Linked DNA regions of Arabidopsis thaliana. The protein of the gene in region 1 interacts with the protein of each later gene in a pairwise test. Each region holds a gene or a part of one and is shown on either strand. Other genes may lie near its edges.

Region 1 (6,814 bases):
GAGAACTCGTTTTCCATTGGGTAGATATGAGTTTCCATAAACTTGATCAACTTCTGCCTTAACTCCAATACTTTTCTGTTGGGGATGAATCTCCCGCTTCCATCCACAAGGCTTTCATACGACGGAGACACGTCTCTTTGAACTGCATCCATATATAAGAAATGTAAAATAAACAGTTATCCTTAACAAACTTGAATCTCAAAGAGGTCGATTACCAGATGGAGGGTGTTCTGGAAGAACATTTTCACGTGCAATATAACCCAAGGCAGACTCTACAAGCTCATTAGCTTGAACCCCTGTATTTCGCGCTCTTTCACCGGCAGAAGCATTCCCCTGCATGATCAACACAATGTCAATGGCTCTACAACTGCATAATAAAGAATCTTAGAATTCAAAAATATGCCCGGGGAATACCATTAACCATCTACTGTACACCCCTGTGTAGATTGAAGCAGCCCGAAATAAGGAGAACGCTACGTAGAACTTCCAGTTTGCAGCAGGCCATGGTTTTCCCTAAAGTTCATTTGCCAATATGTCACTACAACAGAAATTGAGAAAATATAGGCAATGTACAAGGAACACCTGACTTGATTCCTTTTAAAGACTACATGTTGTTGCAGGACAATACCGATGCAGAACAGTATTCTAAGAGAAATTCTGGCATCGAAAGCATTCCTTCTGGAAGCCCAGTAGTTTCAAAACCTTCACTAACATGCTCCTTATCGAGCTGAACATTCACAATGTAATGCTGCCAACACAAATGAACTGTATATCAGAGCAGGAAGCAAAGAAAACTGCTTTATGAGTACAATACAACAAACAAGAATAGGTTATTACCATGCAGCTGTATGCAACATCACACATTTGGTTCCCAAGCGTGGACAATTCCCAGTCAATTATTCCAATAACTCGATCCTACAGTTTAAGATATTTTCAGTTAAGTCTCCGAGACTATCCAAGGATCAGAAAACAAAAGATCTTGAAAGTATTAAGACCTCAGAAGGATGAAAAACGAGATTGTCAATGCGAAAGTCTCCATGGACAAGGCCTGATGTTGCTCCAGTTGAATCTTCCGCGGGGATGTTTTTGCGTAACCAATCAACAAGCTCAAACATCTTTGGATTCCTTTCAGGTTTACCTTCACTTGTTGAAGCCAAATATTGTTTGAACCACCTATCTATCTGAAATGGAGGTATCCAAAAGAAAAAACTTTAGCAAGAGCATATAAGCATTAAGAGAACATCAAACTAGTGAGTAGTGATTTGGAAATTCACCAGCCCCAAATAAAGAACAAACCTGTCTTTTGCAGTAATTGCCTCGCCGACCATATTTCTCAAGACCAATGGCATCCACATCAGCAGAGTGAAGAGATGCCAAGGCTTTGGCGGTTGCACGATAGATCGCATTTCTCCTTTCAGGTGCTACATTCTAAATCAAAACCGATGAAACACACACAAATTTACACCTTTCGTTTACAATGAGTCACATCTCAAGCTAAAAAAACCGTACATACACATTCACATAACAGAGAATATCTTACCGGCAACTTTGGATCAATGAAAATACGTCCTTCCATAAACTCCATAATGTAAAAAGCAGTCCCAATGACAGCAGGGTCAGTGCATAAGCAGAAGACTTTAGGAACAGGAACCTGTGTATGTTCACCTAAAGCCCGAAGCACCTACATAAACCAACCACCATCAAAGTATTAAGCAAAAAAAGCATCTACCTTTAGTTGATACCGTATCTCTTATAAGCAGCATCACAAAAAGTTACAATGATTCTGCATTTCAAAACGGTACTAGAAACAACAAAATTTCATCTTCTTCAAAAATCGAGTATGAACAGTTACAATGAATTTTACAGAGGTAAAGATTATTAATTGATTGATACCTGAAACTCTCGATCAACAGCATGAGCAGATTGAAGAAGCTTGCCAGGAGGCTTCTTCCTCAAAACGTATCGTTTCAAGGAACTCCCTGAGCCAACCTCTATCAGAAACGTTGGATTCGACTGCCCATGTCCGAACTGTATGTAAACCAAACCAAAACAAAACACAGTCAGATAAAAGTTTCTTTCTTACCGGAGAAAAAACCTCGGCGATTGGAAAACATACCTGTGAGACTTTGAATTGGGAAGGGTTGGTCGGAAAGCCAGAGACGTTGTCGGCGGCAAAACGAAACAAGGCATCGTGATCGAAACGGTGAGCTGATTGGATACGTGTCACAAGATCGCCCGTGCTGCTTCCCATGATGTTCCTTCACTCTCCTCTATCTCGCTCTGCTCCTCAGAGATTCATCAACAAGAATAGCTCTCTAAAACACAAATACACGCATTCATACCAACAATTCCATTTACGGAAAGTCGCATAACCTTTCTTTTGGATAATTTTCTTTTTACTTTTGACCTTACAGCAATTTCAGAAATGTTTATCTACTTTTCTTATTTTTGGAGAGATAATTCTATGTTTTCTTTTTTTATAAATAGTAAATACAGTAACCATTTTGATTTTGATAATCATCGTTATTATCGTCATTGTGATTTTATATGCATCCAAAAAAAGCCAAAGATAATTACTAATTACTAACCATATATAGGTTGGAAAAGTTATCCATGAATTAACTTGATGGACATTTTGCTAACTCAAATCAAAATTTTAGATTAGGTGATTTGACTTAGGACGTCATATTCACATTAAGAAAGCTAATACAAAATGAATACGTTTTATAGCTAACGAGGACGAAATTTTCTTTCTGAAAACACTTAAGAATGAACAAACAATTTGACAAGCGATAATTGAAACATTTTTTTAACACTGAAAGTGTTTCAATTAGGAGTGTTGAAGTATTTGACAAGAAGATTTAAAGTATTTTTCTGTTGGGAAACTTTTAACTACTAAACTAAGGAATTTAATGTAGAGAAATTTTTTAATAGCCCATCTAAAAAGTATAAATCAAAGGCCCACTAAGCCCATATAGTTTCTCAAAGCTTCTGCAAAGAGAAGGACCGAAGAAGAACAGAAGCCGAAACCCTCACCGGCGATGGCTCTTATCAGCACACGGCGAACATTATCGACACTCCTAAACAAAACCCTCTCTTCCTCTACTTCATATTCTTCTTCATTTCCTACGCTCTCTTCTCGTTCTCGATTCGCCATGCCTCTAATTGAAAAGGTTTCCTCTTCCCGAACCAGCCTGGGCCCGTGTTACATCTCGACCCGACCCAAGACATCCGGGTCCGGATACTCGCCGCTGAATGATCCTTCGCCGAATTGGAGCAACCGTCCGCCGAAGGAGACGATTCTTCTTGATGGGTGCGATTATGAGCACTGGCTCATCGTCATGGAGTTCACTGATCCTAAACCTACTGAAGAAGAGATGATCAATTCTTATGTCAAAACCTTAACTTCCGTCCTTGGCTGGCAAGTTCCTTTTCATTTGATTTTGACTCTCAAATGTTTTCTTGTGCATTTGGGGATTGACGGATTTGCATTTTGTGGGTAATAATGGTTAAACTATAGTGAGGAAGAGGCCAAGAAGAAGATTTACTCTGTTTGTACTTCGACCTACACTGGCTTTGGTGCTTTGATCTCTGAAGAGCTCTCTTGCAAAGTCAAAGGTATCAACTTCTCCATATTTGCAATTAGGTTTTTAAGCCTTTTTTGCTCTGACATAGCTTTTCTAGTTGTTTACTTATGATGTTGAGATTTATCGTAAAAGGCTTTCTCTGTTTGGTACTGCTCTGTTCAACAGCTAGGAGGAAACTTCTCTTGATCTTTGTTTTATCGCAGTTATTGTCTGTCTCTAGTACTATAAAATGAGAACATATTTTACTGTTTGAGAAATCTGATCTAGAGTTGTGTGATTCATTAGCATTGCCTGGTGTTCTCTGGGTGCTGCCGGATTCCTATCTCGATGTACCAAACAAAGACTACGGAGGTGTGTAACGTTTGTAGATTTTGTCTGAATGATTGGGTACTGAGATATGGTTCTTAATACTGATACCATCTGTCTTTGGCTCTCATGTTCAGGTGACTTGTACGTTGAAGGAAAGGTCATACCCAGACCACAGTACAGGTTCACGGAACAGCGTCATACTAGACCCCGTCCTAGGCCAAGGTATGATAGGCGCCGTGAGACAATGCAGGTTGAGAGGAGAGAGCCATCCATGGGTCTTCATTCTCCAGTAAATCCGGGAGAGTTCAACAAGCCCAGTGCTTAATATTAAACATGAACAATGCATTATGTAATGGATGGAGTTTATTAGGATTATGGTATTTACATGCTTGTCTTAAACACTCATGTGAGAGACTTTTCAGTTTTTATCCACTTAATCAAACAAATCAATCATCATTCATGTCTCTAATGATGACTAAACACTACTCTAAACAGAACAAATTATAAAAATCTAATGTGAACTTGCGAAGGAGAAATTAAATAAATATGTACAATGTAATATATATACACACGAGAGATCATATGATGTAATTGGAACCGAGATTAAGAATACTTTTAACCAGGAATCATCACCACGACCACGAATTTGTCAGCATACCGGAGATAATGCAATGTTCAACTTCTCCCTTTCACCGTCGGTCACGATCCTCACTATCCTCTTGAACGCAAAGTGCACACAATTAGACAACGCGATCCAGCAAATCACTTCATACACAAATTCCATCGCTGGATCTGACCAAGACGAAAACGAAGACCCATCCCAATTATCCCTCCCGAAACCACCGCCGCCGCCGCCGTAGTTCCATCCCTTTCCGCCTCCATCGTTTCCTCCGCCTCCAAATCCAAATGGACCGTCGCTACCACCGAAATCACCTTCTAACAGAAAACGACCAAAATCTCCTGCGTCATCTCCATCTCCACCAAACGAAACTCGCCTGGTTCGTCGCTTTTTACGGATCCGGCGAATTGTCTTATAAGAGCTAGATCTGACCGGTGGAGGAGCAATTGCATCGACGGGGAAAATAATCGCCGATGCTTGAACGATTCCTCCACCGGGAGATTGATGATCAACAACGGAATCGGCGAAAGAAATGTGATTGGCCAAATCCAACCTTTGAAGAAGAGATTTCCCAAACGCGATACCTTGCTTAGCCGTGCAAACTGTGACTGTATCTGCGATCAAAGAGAACTCCATGATGATCTACAAATCCGACGACGACGACGACCTTGTTCGAATTCTCTTTTTTCCCTAAAATCCACGAAATAGTTTTGGATTAGGGATTTTTACAACATTGCCGGCGAATTTGGGTAATGACGGGAAATAAATCAGGAAGCTGATTCGGATCCGAAGGAGGCGGATAAATTGTACACGTAACTGATTTGCGCGTTGAATAGAGAAGCCACGTGTCTTGCAGTATTCACACGTGAGTCGCACGCAAGAAGGGTCCATTAATACGTGAAAGCCCAAAGTTATGGGTTGGGCTATATAATTCATTGAAGAGTTTTCGTATCACATTTCTGAAAATATACGGGTTCTATTCATAAATATAAGGAAATATGTGTCAAAAAAGCAATATTGTGGGAGCAGAAGATGTGCTTGTTCATGTGATCATTTCTCAAGGAAATTTTTCTACATGGAGTAAATCGAGAGATTATAACAACGTCGATTTAAATTATATGTGATTTCTTAGAAAGAAATCGATGGCATTTCATATGTTTAAATGTTCTTACGAGGTTGTTTGGTATGCCTTCTCTGAAATTCACACCAAAAAAAAAATGAAGTAAAATTTATAGCATAAATGGCTAAACATTTATCGTCGGTCCATAACCTAATCCTTCTGCAGATTCATCATCGACAATTTTTATGACAAATCTCACGTGCTCACTGACATTTGTTTTTTCAGACTTTAAGAGCTTCCAAACTTTGTTTTTTCATACATTCGTTAAATATGTTTCAGAAATAAAAGTTCAGGAAGTAATTGACATTTTTTATTGATAATCTAGACGTTAGCATTCCCATGTGATTATTACTTTCGGGTGACCAATTACAACCGCTATGTTTGACTTAATACTGATTTTGAGCAGTAATGAATGAATTAGGTTTCGAATATATTACTGAAATTTGCTTGGCTTCGTTACAAGAAGTCAATTACAAGTAAAACTTTGTAGTTCAAATATTAATTTCCATGACATAATTTAAAGTACTAAAGTGTTTTTGAGTTTTTCCTTATAGATCAACGCGCATGTAATACATTTGGTACATACATACTTAGCTTATGTCCAAAGCCAAACTACTGTTTTTGTTGTCTCAAGTTATAGTCAAACATCAAACACCAGAAAACAAATCACGGAATCCGATCGGAATCCAATTTTCAAAGCAAAGCTAGATATATTTATAATGTTGTTACATATTTTGTCTCTAGACAAATACATACTCCTATACAATTAGACTTCCGAGGTTTTGGATTCAATCTATGCAAAATATTGTGCTAAAAAAACAATATAAAATTCTCTCTGCTTCAATATTTCAACTTTCATGTAAAAAATTATCTAAGGAAAAATAAAACTGTTCCATGTAAACTGTAAAAAGAGAAGAATAGTTGGTAGTCGCTTCATCTACTTTGATTGTTTCACATTTGTCATTTGATTTCAAATAAAGGCATAAAGTGTTTGTTTACTTCTCTTCTATATATGTATCACAAGTTCCGTGTTTCACTATTAAATTCTCTACATTTAACAGCTATCTAACATCGTAGATGATTTATCAAGTACTTTATTTTTTTAAAAAATCTTTATCATATAGTATTAGAAAACTTCACCTAACCACTCATCATATATGACAATCTACTATCCACGAC
Region 2 (8,175 bases), on another chromosome or scaffold:
TCTGTCTGTCTTTCTCCGCCTGAGCTCTGGCTCCAGCAGCAATCTGTTCAATGTATTCTGTGTCTTCTCTAAATCTCTGCAAACCTCTCTTTCTCCTCTGTTCTAGTTCGCTCTGCTGTTCATGTACCAACATGTTAGAGAATAATGAACTCAAGTTATCATCCAGTTATAATATAATGATTATGAGATTAGATTATACAAAGTCATTATATTATCAACCTCAGATATGTCCAGCTTCCTTCGAGCTTTTTCCCTTTTCTTCGCTTCCCACAAATCTATCTTTCTGTTTAACTTCTCATACCTGCTTGTGTAATACATATGTGAGTGTAAATAACACACATAAATAAGTTTTTGTGAATTGAGACTACTTACCTTGCTTTGATCTTAGATAGTTCAGCTTTTTCCCAAGCATCAGCTGTAGAATCATCCTTTCGACTAGTATGCTCAGAACTCTGCCTTTTGGTTTCCCTAGGTGGAAGCCGCAGAGGCGAAGGTGATAGAAGAGGAGGAGGAGGTGGCGGTGGAGCACGAGGTTCTGATCGTGTCCTAAGCGGTGGTTGTATCCGTGGTGGTTCAGAAACCGGTTTTCTTTGTCTTTCATGTTTCTCCTCTGAATCTTGATTCTGTTTGGTGTGGTCTCCCATCAAGTTCATGGAGAAAGTCTTTTTTACCGAAGATGACTTTCTCATTGGGGACTTTAGTGTAGGAGGTTTATGATCTTTCGTCTCTGAATCTATAAACGAAAGTTGCCCTGTGTCAACACAAAAACGTAAACTGATTTCAGAAAACATTTTCAGTTGAATAACAAAATCTGATCTTGAGTTATTCTGTAACCTCACCTGAGAATCTTCTTGATAAGCTTCTTGGTTCCTCTAAAGGCAACAGTTCTTCACTTCTGCTCTTGCTCCTTGACGAAGAAGGTCCAAGTTCAAGGCCACTCTGTTTTGTTTTACAATTTCAAACCACAACAAACTCAAATTACGAGAAAATGTTTACTCTAACAAAAACTCTGTTTTTAAAAACCGTTACATGATAGTTCTCTAGCCAAGTTTCTTCAAAAGTGGCTATGGCATAGGCAGTGGCTGCAACTGCAGCTGCATGATCCATTTCTCCGATGGGATCATAACTTTGGCCACTCATTTGCCTCGAGAACTGCTTCTGTAACCAGTTTGAAGGCTTCTTCTTATCTACCAACACACATGATATGATAATGTGAAATTAATCAAGCATCAAAGATTGATAGGCTATTAAGAACAACAGAGCAGAATTTTGTGGCACCTTCTTTGAATGAAACAGACTTCCTTGCTGACACTTTTTTCTCTCTAGTTGAGCTACCAACCTCTCTAATTTTTTCCTGGGAAGCTGGATGCTTCCTCCTGAGACAAAGATAACAACATTTTACATCAATATATGTATATGTGGCTGAATAGAAAATCTGAATTTGGAGATTTAGTGAATTACCTTGTCTGCTTGATTAAGGTATCCATTTTCAAACTAAAATATGGTGGGAGGACTTGAGAAGATGTGTTTGAGGGTTTTGGTTTTTTAAGGGTTTTTGAGATTATTGCTTTGCATGCAAGTTTCATATTTGGATCATAAAGATGTGCAGGTAAAGTAAAGAACACTTTTTCTATTCTTCTCCCTCTTCAGCTTTTTGGTTCTTTGCTTTCTCAAAACGACAGTGAAAAGAACAAACCAGATTCCTTTTATATTCAATTTTCATACATGGATAAGGAATCTTTTACATTCAGAAAACACATCAACTACAATCTCGCTTTAACAGAGAAAATGAATCTTAAATAACCAGTTAACACTGCCAAATTCCTATCTGTAAATGAAACAAAGTTGTGCTATACATAACTAAACAAGGAAGTCTGTGTCAGAAAGTTCGAGGACCTTATGTGCACCAATCGCCTTCACGTCTGATTTGAAAGCATTCCCTTCTATGTACCTGCCACATACATGATACATCCCATCAAGAATTAAATTAGAACATGTGTGTTATATATCGTCTTACACAATGAGACCTTAGAGAGCTTATGAACATACATATCTTTTAGGTTTGGATGCTTGTAGAAGGCTTCAGGTATACTTCCATTGAATAGATTGTGGTCCAAGTGCCTGAAGTTAAATCAAAACATGCTCTAAGGATGCAGAAGAACATATAGGTCGTTTTTCAGATCAGTTCTTAGTTATGTATTTAGTAGAGGAGAGAGGCCTACAAGTTAGTTAGTCTTGGTATACTGGCAAGTGCAGCGGGTATTGCTCCAGTCATTTTGTTGAAAGATAAGTACCTAAACATAAAAAAGATAAGATAGGGAGAGAAAAAACATGTAAATGATGTTAATAAATCAAAAGAAGTGATCAAGTACTCACAAGATCTCCAGGTTTGTTAGATTTGCAAGCTTGTTTGGGAGTCCTCCAGTCAAGTAATTATTGTTTAAAAACCTACAGCCAAAAGTGAGCTTAGACAAAATACTACTTTTGATGGCTAACTCTTAAACTCACTTACAGGTTTCTAAGAGCTGGAAAGCATCCTTCAATGCGAAAAAGATCGCTTATACTCCCCACTAAGTTATTGTTGCCAGCATCCCTACAGATTCATGACAGAGATATTAAGCATATCTGAAGTCAGTTGCTTGATCATGATCTACAATAAAGAGCACTGAATGTCAAAGATTACAAGTGGCGAAGTTTTTGTAATGTTCCCAGCTCTGCTGGAATTCGCCCAGTAAAATGATTCTCCTGAATATGTAAGTACTGGAGCTCATGGAGATTTGCAAGTTCTTTGGGGATTTCTCCTTTGAAATTGTTAAAACTCAGGTACCTGCAATATTAAGAGCATGTTACAGAGCCACAAGAAAACCCCTTCAACCATCCTGAAATGAGCTAGGATTACTCACAGATAAGTTAGACTCTTCAATCCACCAATTTCAGGAGGCAGTGCCTGTTGAAGTTTGTTCCACCTCAAATTCCTACGAAACCAAACAAGATCAAGACAAAGCAAGTAGCCAAACTGAATTCCTCAAGTTGAAGAGTATTACAGTGTGATAAGCCGCTTAAGCCGCCCAATTTCTGGAGGAATAGGACCTGTTAATTTGTTATTATGCATATCCCTGCCAACCATAATCCAAATTCATTTAAACAATCAATCATACACTCAGCAATAAAATTGTTTCCATCAAAATTAACAAGAACCCAAAAGTTTTCAACTTTTCAACAACATTGCAAAGTCAGTGAAACTTACAAAACAGTGAGATCTAAGAGCTTCGTTATAGCCTTTGGGAAATTCCCAACTATCGACATTGAATACACTTCTCTGCAAAAAAGATCACAAACCATTTTTAAGTGAAAAATCAATTCAAAGCCTCAAACTTTAAGAGAATGAGAGTCAAAAGATTACAGCTTGACGACGACACGATAATCGCCAACTTTAGAGCAAGTAACTCCAGACCACGGAGGCAAAACTCCATCGCCACAAGGATCATCTCCAACCCAAGAGTATACCAATCTCCATCCCACCAATTTCTTTATCTCATTCAAAGCTTTCACTGCCAAAACCAAAAACTCAAATCAGAAAAAGCAAAAACCCGACTAAAAATCACAAATTTGGAAGAGCTTACTGTCTCGTTTAAGTGTTTTAGCGAAGGAGACATTGAACAGCAACAAAAGAGCGTAAATCCGGAGGATTAGATACAAGCTCAAACTCAAATTCGCCATCGATTATGCTGCGAGCTTAAGAAATCATGAACTCTTCATGGGTTTAAGAAGAAGAGAAGAATCAATTTTATAAAATCGGAAAGTGAAATTGTGTGTGAGGAAGAAGAAGAATTATTTATCATCGCCATGGAAGAAAGCAAGCTCAGTGGAAACTAAACTAACCAAAAACAGTTCAAATTCCAACAATATTTTAATATATTAAATAGACCGAGTAAGGCCCATAATATTGGGCTTAGATAGGCCCATATATAAGAAGGTGATACGTCATAAATCAATATTGGTTTTAAAAATAGCTAACCAATCATAACGAACGGTAGAAACGTCGTCGTTTAAACAACTGTTTATATATCTTCCATCTCCGGTGTTCCGGCAACATTTATTCTTACGTTCCTCCGTCGCCATGATCGTTAATTTCTCTTTCTTCCTCCTTCTCTTCGTCTCCGTCTTCGTTTCCTCTGCTGATTCTAAAGCGACCATTTCAATTTCCCCTAATGCTCTCAATCGATCTGGCGATTCCGTTGTGATACAATGGTCCGGTGTCGATTCTCCGTCAGATCTCGATTGGTTAGGACTCTACTCGCCGCCGGAGTCTCCTAATGATCACTTTATTGGTTACAAATTCCTCAATGAATCGTCCACTTGGAAAGATGGTTTCGGTTCGATTTCTCTTCCTTTAACCAATCTCCGATCAAATTACACATTCCGGATCTTCCGTTGGAGCGAATCCGAGATTGATCCGAAACATAAGGATCATGATCAGAATCCTTTACCAGGAACTAAACATCTTCTAGCTGAATCGGAGCAGCTGACTTTCGGATCCGGTGTTGGTATGCCGGAGCAGATCCATTTGTCGTTCACAAATATGGTTAACACGATGCGTGTTATGTTTGTAGCTGGAGATGGTGAAGAACGTTTTGTTAGATACGGTGAATCGAAGGATTTGTTAGGTAATTCCGCGGCGGCGCGTGGGATGAGGTACGAGAGAGAGCACATGTGTGATTCGCCGGCGAATTCCACTATTGGTTGGAGAGATCCTGGTTGGATTTTTGATACCGTCATGAAGAATTTGAATGATGGCGTTAGATACTATTATCAGGTAATATAAAGTCTCGATTTTGAAGCTTATGCATGATAGATTTGGGAGAAATATGTTTTGATTGATCAAATTTATGATTCTATGAATTAGGTTGGGAGTGATTCTAAGGGATGGAGTGAGATCCATAGCTACATTGCTCGAGATGTGACTGCAGAAGAAACCGTAGCTTTCATGTTTGGAGATATGGGTTGTGCTACACCATACACGACATTTATCCGCACACAAGATGAGAGCATATCTACAGTGAAGTGGATCCTCCGTGACATTGAAGCTCTTGGTGATAAGCCAGCTATGATTTCACACATTGGAGATATAAGTTATGCTCGTGGTTACTCGTGGGTATGGGATGAGTTCTTTGCTCAGGTTGAGCCTATTGCCTCGACAGTTCCTTACCATGTTTGCATTGGTAACCATGAGTATGATTTCTCTACTCAGCCGTGGAAACCTGATTGGGCAGCTTCTATTTATGGAAACGATGGTGGTGGCGAATGTGGTGTGCCGTATAGCTTGAAGTTTAACATGCCTGGGAATTCTTCAGAGTCTACAGGAATGAAAGCTCCTCCGACAAGGAATTTATATTATTCTTATGATATGGGAACGGTCCATTTCGTTTATATCTCCACAGAGACGAATTTTCTTAAAGGAGGTAGTCAATATGAATTCATAAAGCGAGATCTAGAGTCTGTAGACAGGAAGAAAACACCGTTTGTTGTTGTGCAAGGACATAGACCAATGTACACTACGAGCAACGAGGTTAGAGACACTATGATTCGACAAAAGATGGTTGAGCATCTAGAACCTTTGTTTGTGAAAAACAATGTCACACTTGCTCTATGGGGACATGTTCATAGATACGAAAGGTTTTGTCCCATAAGCAACAACACTTGCGGCACACAGTGGCAAGGAAATCCGGTTCATCTTGTGATCGGTATGGCTGGTCAAGATTGGCAACCGATTTGGCAGCCTAGACCAAACCATCCAGATCTTCCTATATTCCCTCAGCCTGAACAATCAATGTATCGTACAGGTGAGTTTGGTTACACTCGTTTAGTTGCAAACAAAGAAAAGCTCACTGTTTCTTTTGTGGGTAATCACGATGGCGAAGTTCATGATACTGTTGAGATGTTAGCATCTGGGGTAGTAATCAGTGGGAGCAAAGAGAGTACTAAAATCCCAAATCTGAAAACCGTTCCTGCTTCTGCTACACTTATGGGAAAATCAGAATCTAATGCTTTGTGGTATGCCAAAGGAGCAGGCTTGATGGTTGTGGGTGTGCTTTTAGGGTTCATTATCGGGTTTTTTACCCGGGGAAAGAAATCTTCGTCTGGAAACCGTTGGATCCCAGTCAAGAACGAGGAGACATAATCACATAATGTTGAACTGAGTCTATTATTTAGAGGCACGATTTGTATAGTATCCTTTTTTTCCCACGGTAAGAACCATGTTTCTTTACAACTACAGCTGGGAAGATATATAACATAAGTTTTTGTGCACTATAATAATAGTGATTCTTGTTACATAGTATGATTCATGTGTTTTTTTTTGAAGAATTTGCTGTAATTACAGATTGAAGAAGTTTTGCTGTAATTACATTATGTAGTGTATGAGAGTATATATACATTCAACAATTGTAGAGGCTAATCAATCGAGCATTGGAATGTTGATTATGCCAAAGCATAAGTGTAACCAATTATAGTATGGATTTGATGTTTTCTATTTTTGTTTGGTTATATGCTTTTTGAATATCAAAAGGTAAATTAGATTAATTTATTTGGATCGGTTTGATTTAGATTGGATCAATTCAATATATTAGGATTAAACACTCATGGAATATTGTCTGGAAAATTTAAGCTTGAGAAAAAAAATTGAATCAAATGCGTTAATATTGACAATTTTCATAGCAAAGAATGAATAAAGAAGAAAATCACAACTGTTCAAACGTAAAAAAAAGAAGAGAGAATGATACAATATAATATACATATAAGAACAATGGTATTTTGTGGAAGGTGTTTTCTTATTTGGAAAGCAAGTGACGTGCCCGTTGATTAGCTCCTTGAACACGAGAGTTAAGCTCATCAACATCGTCGCCGAGATGATCAAGAGCTTTGTTTTGCCTGCAAATTTGCCCCCAACAATAGTAAGTATTCTACAAACATAAGCATAAAATGTATGAAAGTATGTATTTGTGTTATCTGACTTGTCGATCTCAGATCCCATATCAACGGCCATGCTCTTAAGATCACCCAATATGTCACTTAAATCTGAAAGTCCATCGTCTTGCTTTGCCTTCTCTTGCTGCATTAAACATACACCTTTTAATACGTATTCTTAATAAAGAAAGCATATAAGATGCAAAAACTTGTAAAAAGAACACAAACCTCAACTTTCTGCAACGCATTTGTTGGTTGATCTAATGCTGGTTGACTGCTCGATCGTCCTTTTGCACCCAAACCAAGTTTCTCCCGCTCTTCCTTGTGATTCTCGCTCTTCTTCGACGGTTTATCTAAAATTTCGATAACTATATTAAACATGACCACCATACACATGATCAAGAGTCCTAACAACGTGAATACAATAAGGATTGAGATTATATGAGTTATTAACGGGCTAGGTATGAATCAACCCTTCTCTAAGATATTATAAGATACATGATCATCATAACATTATTTTATCCAATCAATATCAAGAGCTCGGAAGCTTTAAAACCTGGTGTGATCATAGGTCCTGTGATATTTTTAGTCTTCTTTGGTTTCCATGGCTTTGAAAACATTCCTCCTAAGTTGTTCAAAAGCTTCTCCCCCTGATCTCACAAACATTTTTTCTTATCAACGCTCCATAAAACAGAACATATAATTTCACATTTTCGTATCGAAGAAAGTAAGAAAAATTAAAAAAAGTTTTACCCGACTGAGATCTTTATCCATATCAACAGCCATTTCATGAGTCCTGTTGATTTGTTCACCTTGCTGATGCAACATTTCGAGCGTTCTTGCACCATCTGATCTTATATCTTCAGCGATCTTAAGACAATTATTAACACCTTTGGTTGTTTCTTCAGCTTTATAAACTGCATATTTTTCTAATTCTTCTGTCGTTTGGCTCTGCAGACCACCAGAATCGTTGAAACCGTTCTTGTATTTGTCGTCATCGTCGAAATCTGGTGTTATCAGGATTGGTTCTGAAGAAGTCCTTCTTCCTGCAGTGATTGTTCCTCCTTTGTTGTTTGATGATTCATTGGGAAGTTTATTGTTCCCCGGAGATTTGAAAAACCCAAACATCTATGTAACAATGAGGTGATGATGATTATCGATTAAACTGATAAAAAAGATTGAATCAGGAAGAAATAGAATTTGATGGGT

The links.
Region 2: the proteins of MORF3 (region 1) and PAP2 interact in a two-hybrid assay, tested with the Arabidopsis thaliana proteins (one study listed by BioGRID).

What each region holds. Positions count from the first base shown.
Region 1 is NC_003074.8:2,141,971-2,148,784, reverse strand, and holds MORF3 (plastid developmental protein DAG), read left to right. Parts: upstream 1-2,977; 5' UTR 2,978-3,041; coding exon 3,042-3,421; coding exon of another isoform or gene 3,422-3,425; intron 3,426-3,520; coding exon 3,521-3,618; intron 3,619-3,872; coding exon 3,873-3,938; intron 3,939-4,030; coding exon 4,031-4,221; 3' UTR 4,222-4,401; downstream 4,402-6,814. Other genes in the region: IBR3 (acyl-CoA dehydrogenase-like protein), read right to left, coding at 1-142, 216-333, 415-513, 629-748, 838-915, 996-1,181, 1,297-1,428, 1,541-1,681 and 2 more; AT3G06780 (glycine-rich protein), read right to left, coding at 4,546-5,151. UniProt on the Arabidopsis thaliana protein: Involved in organellar RNA editing. Required for the processing of RNA editing sites in mitochondria.
Region 2 is NC_003070.9:4,751,500-4,759,674, reverse strand, and holds PAP2 (Purple acid phosphatases superfamily protein), read left to right. Parts: upstream 1-4,018; 5' UTR 4,019-4,120; coding exon 4,121-4,816; intron 4,817-4,906; coding exon 4,907-6,181; 3' UTR 6,182-6,576; downstream 6,577-8,175. Other genes in the region: AT1G13920 (Remorin family protein), read right to left, coding at 1-115, 220-301, 373-751, 840-939, 1,030-1,187, 1,279-1,376, 1,462-1,586; AT1G13910 (Leucine-rich repeat (LRR) family protein), read right to left, coding at 1,861-1,951, 2,050-2,121, 2,223-2,294, 2,377-2,448, 2,513-2,593, 2,684-2,827, 2,904-2,975, 3,045-3,116 and 3 more; SNAP30 (soluble N-ethylmaleimide-sensitive factor adaptor protein 30), read right to left, coding at 6,831-6,930, 7,014-7,111, 7,195-7,319, 7,523-7,616, 7,720-8,094.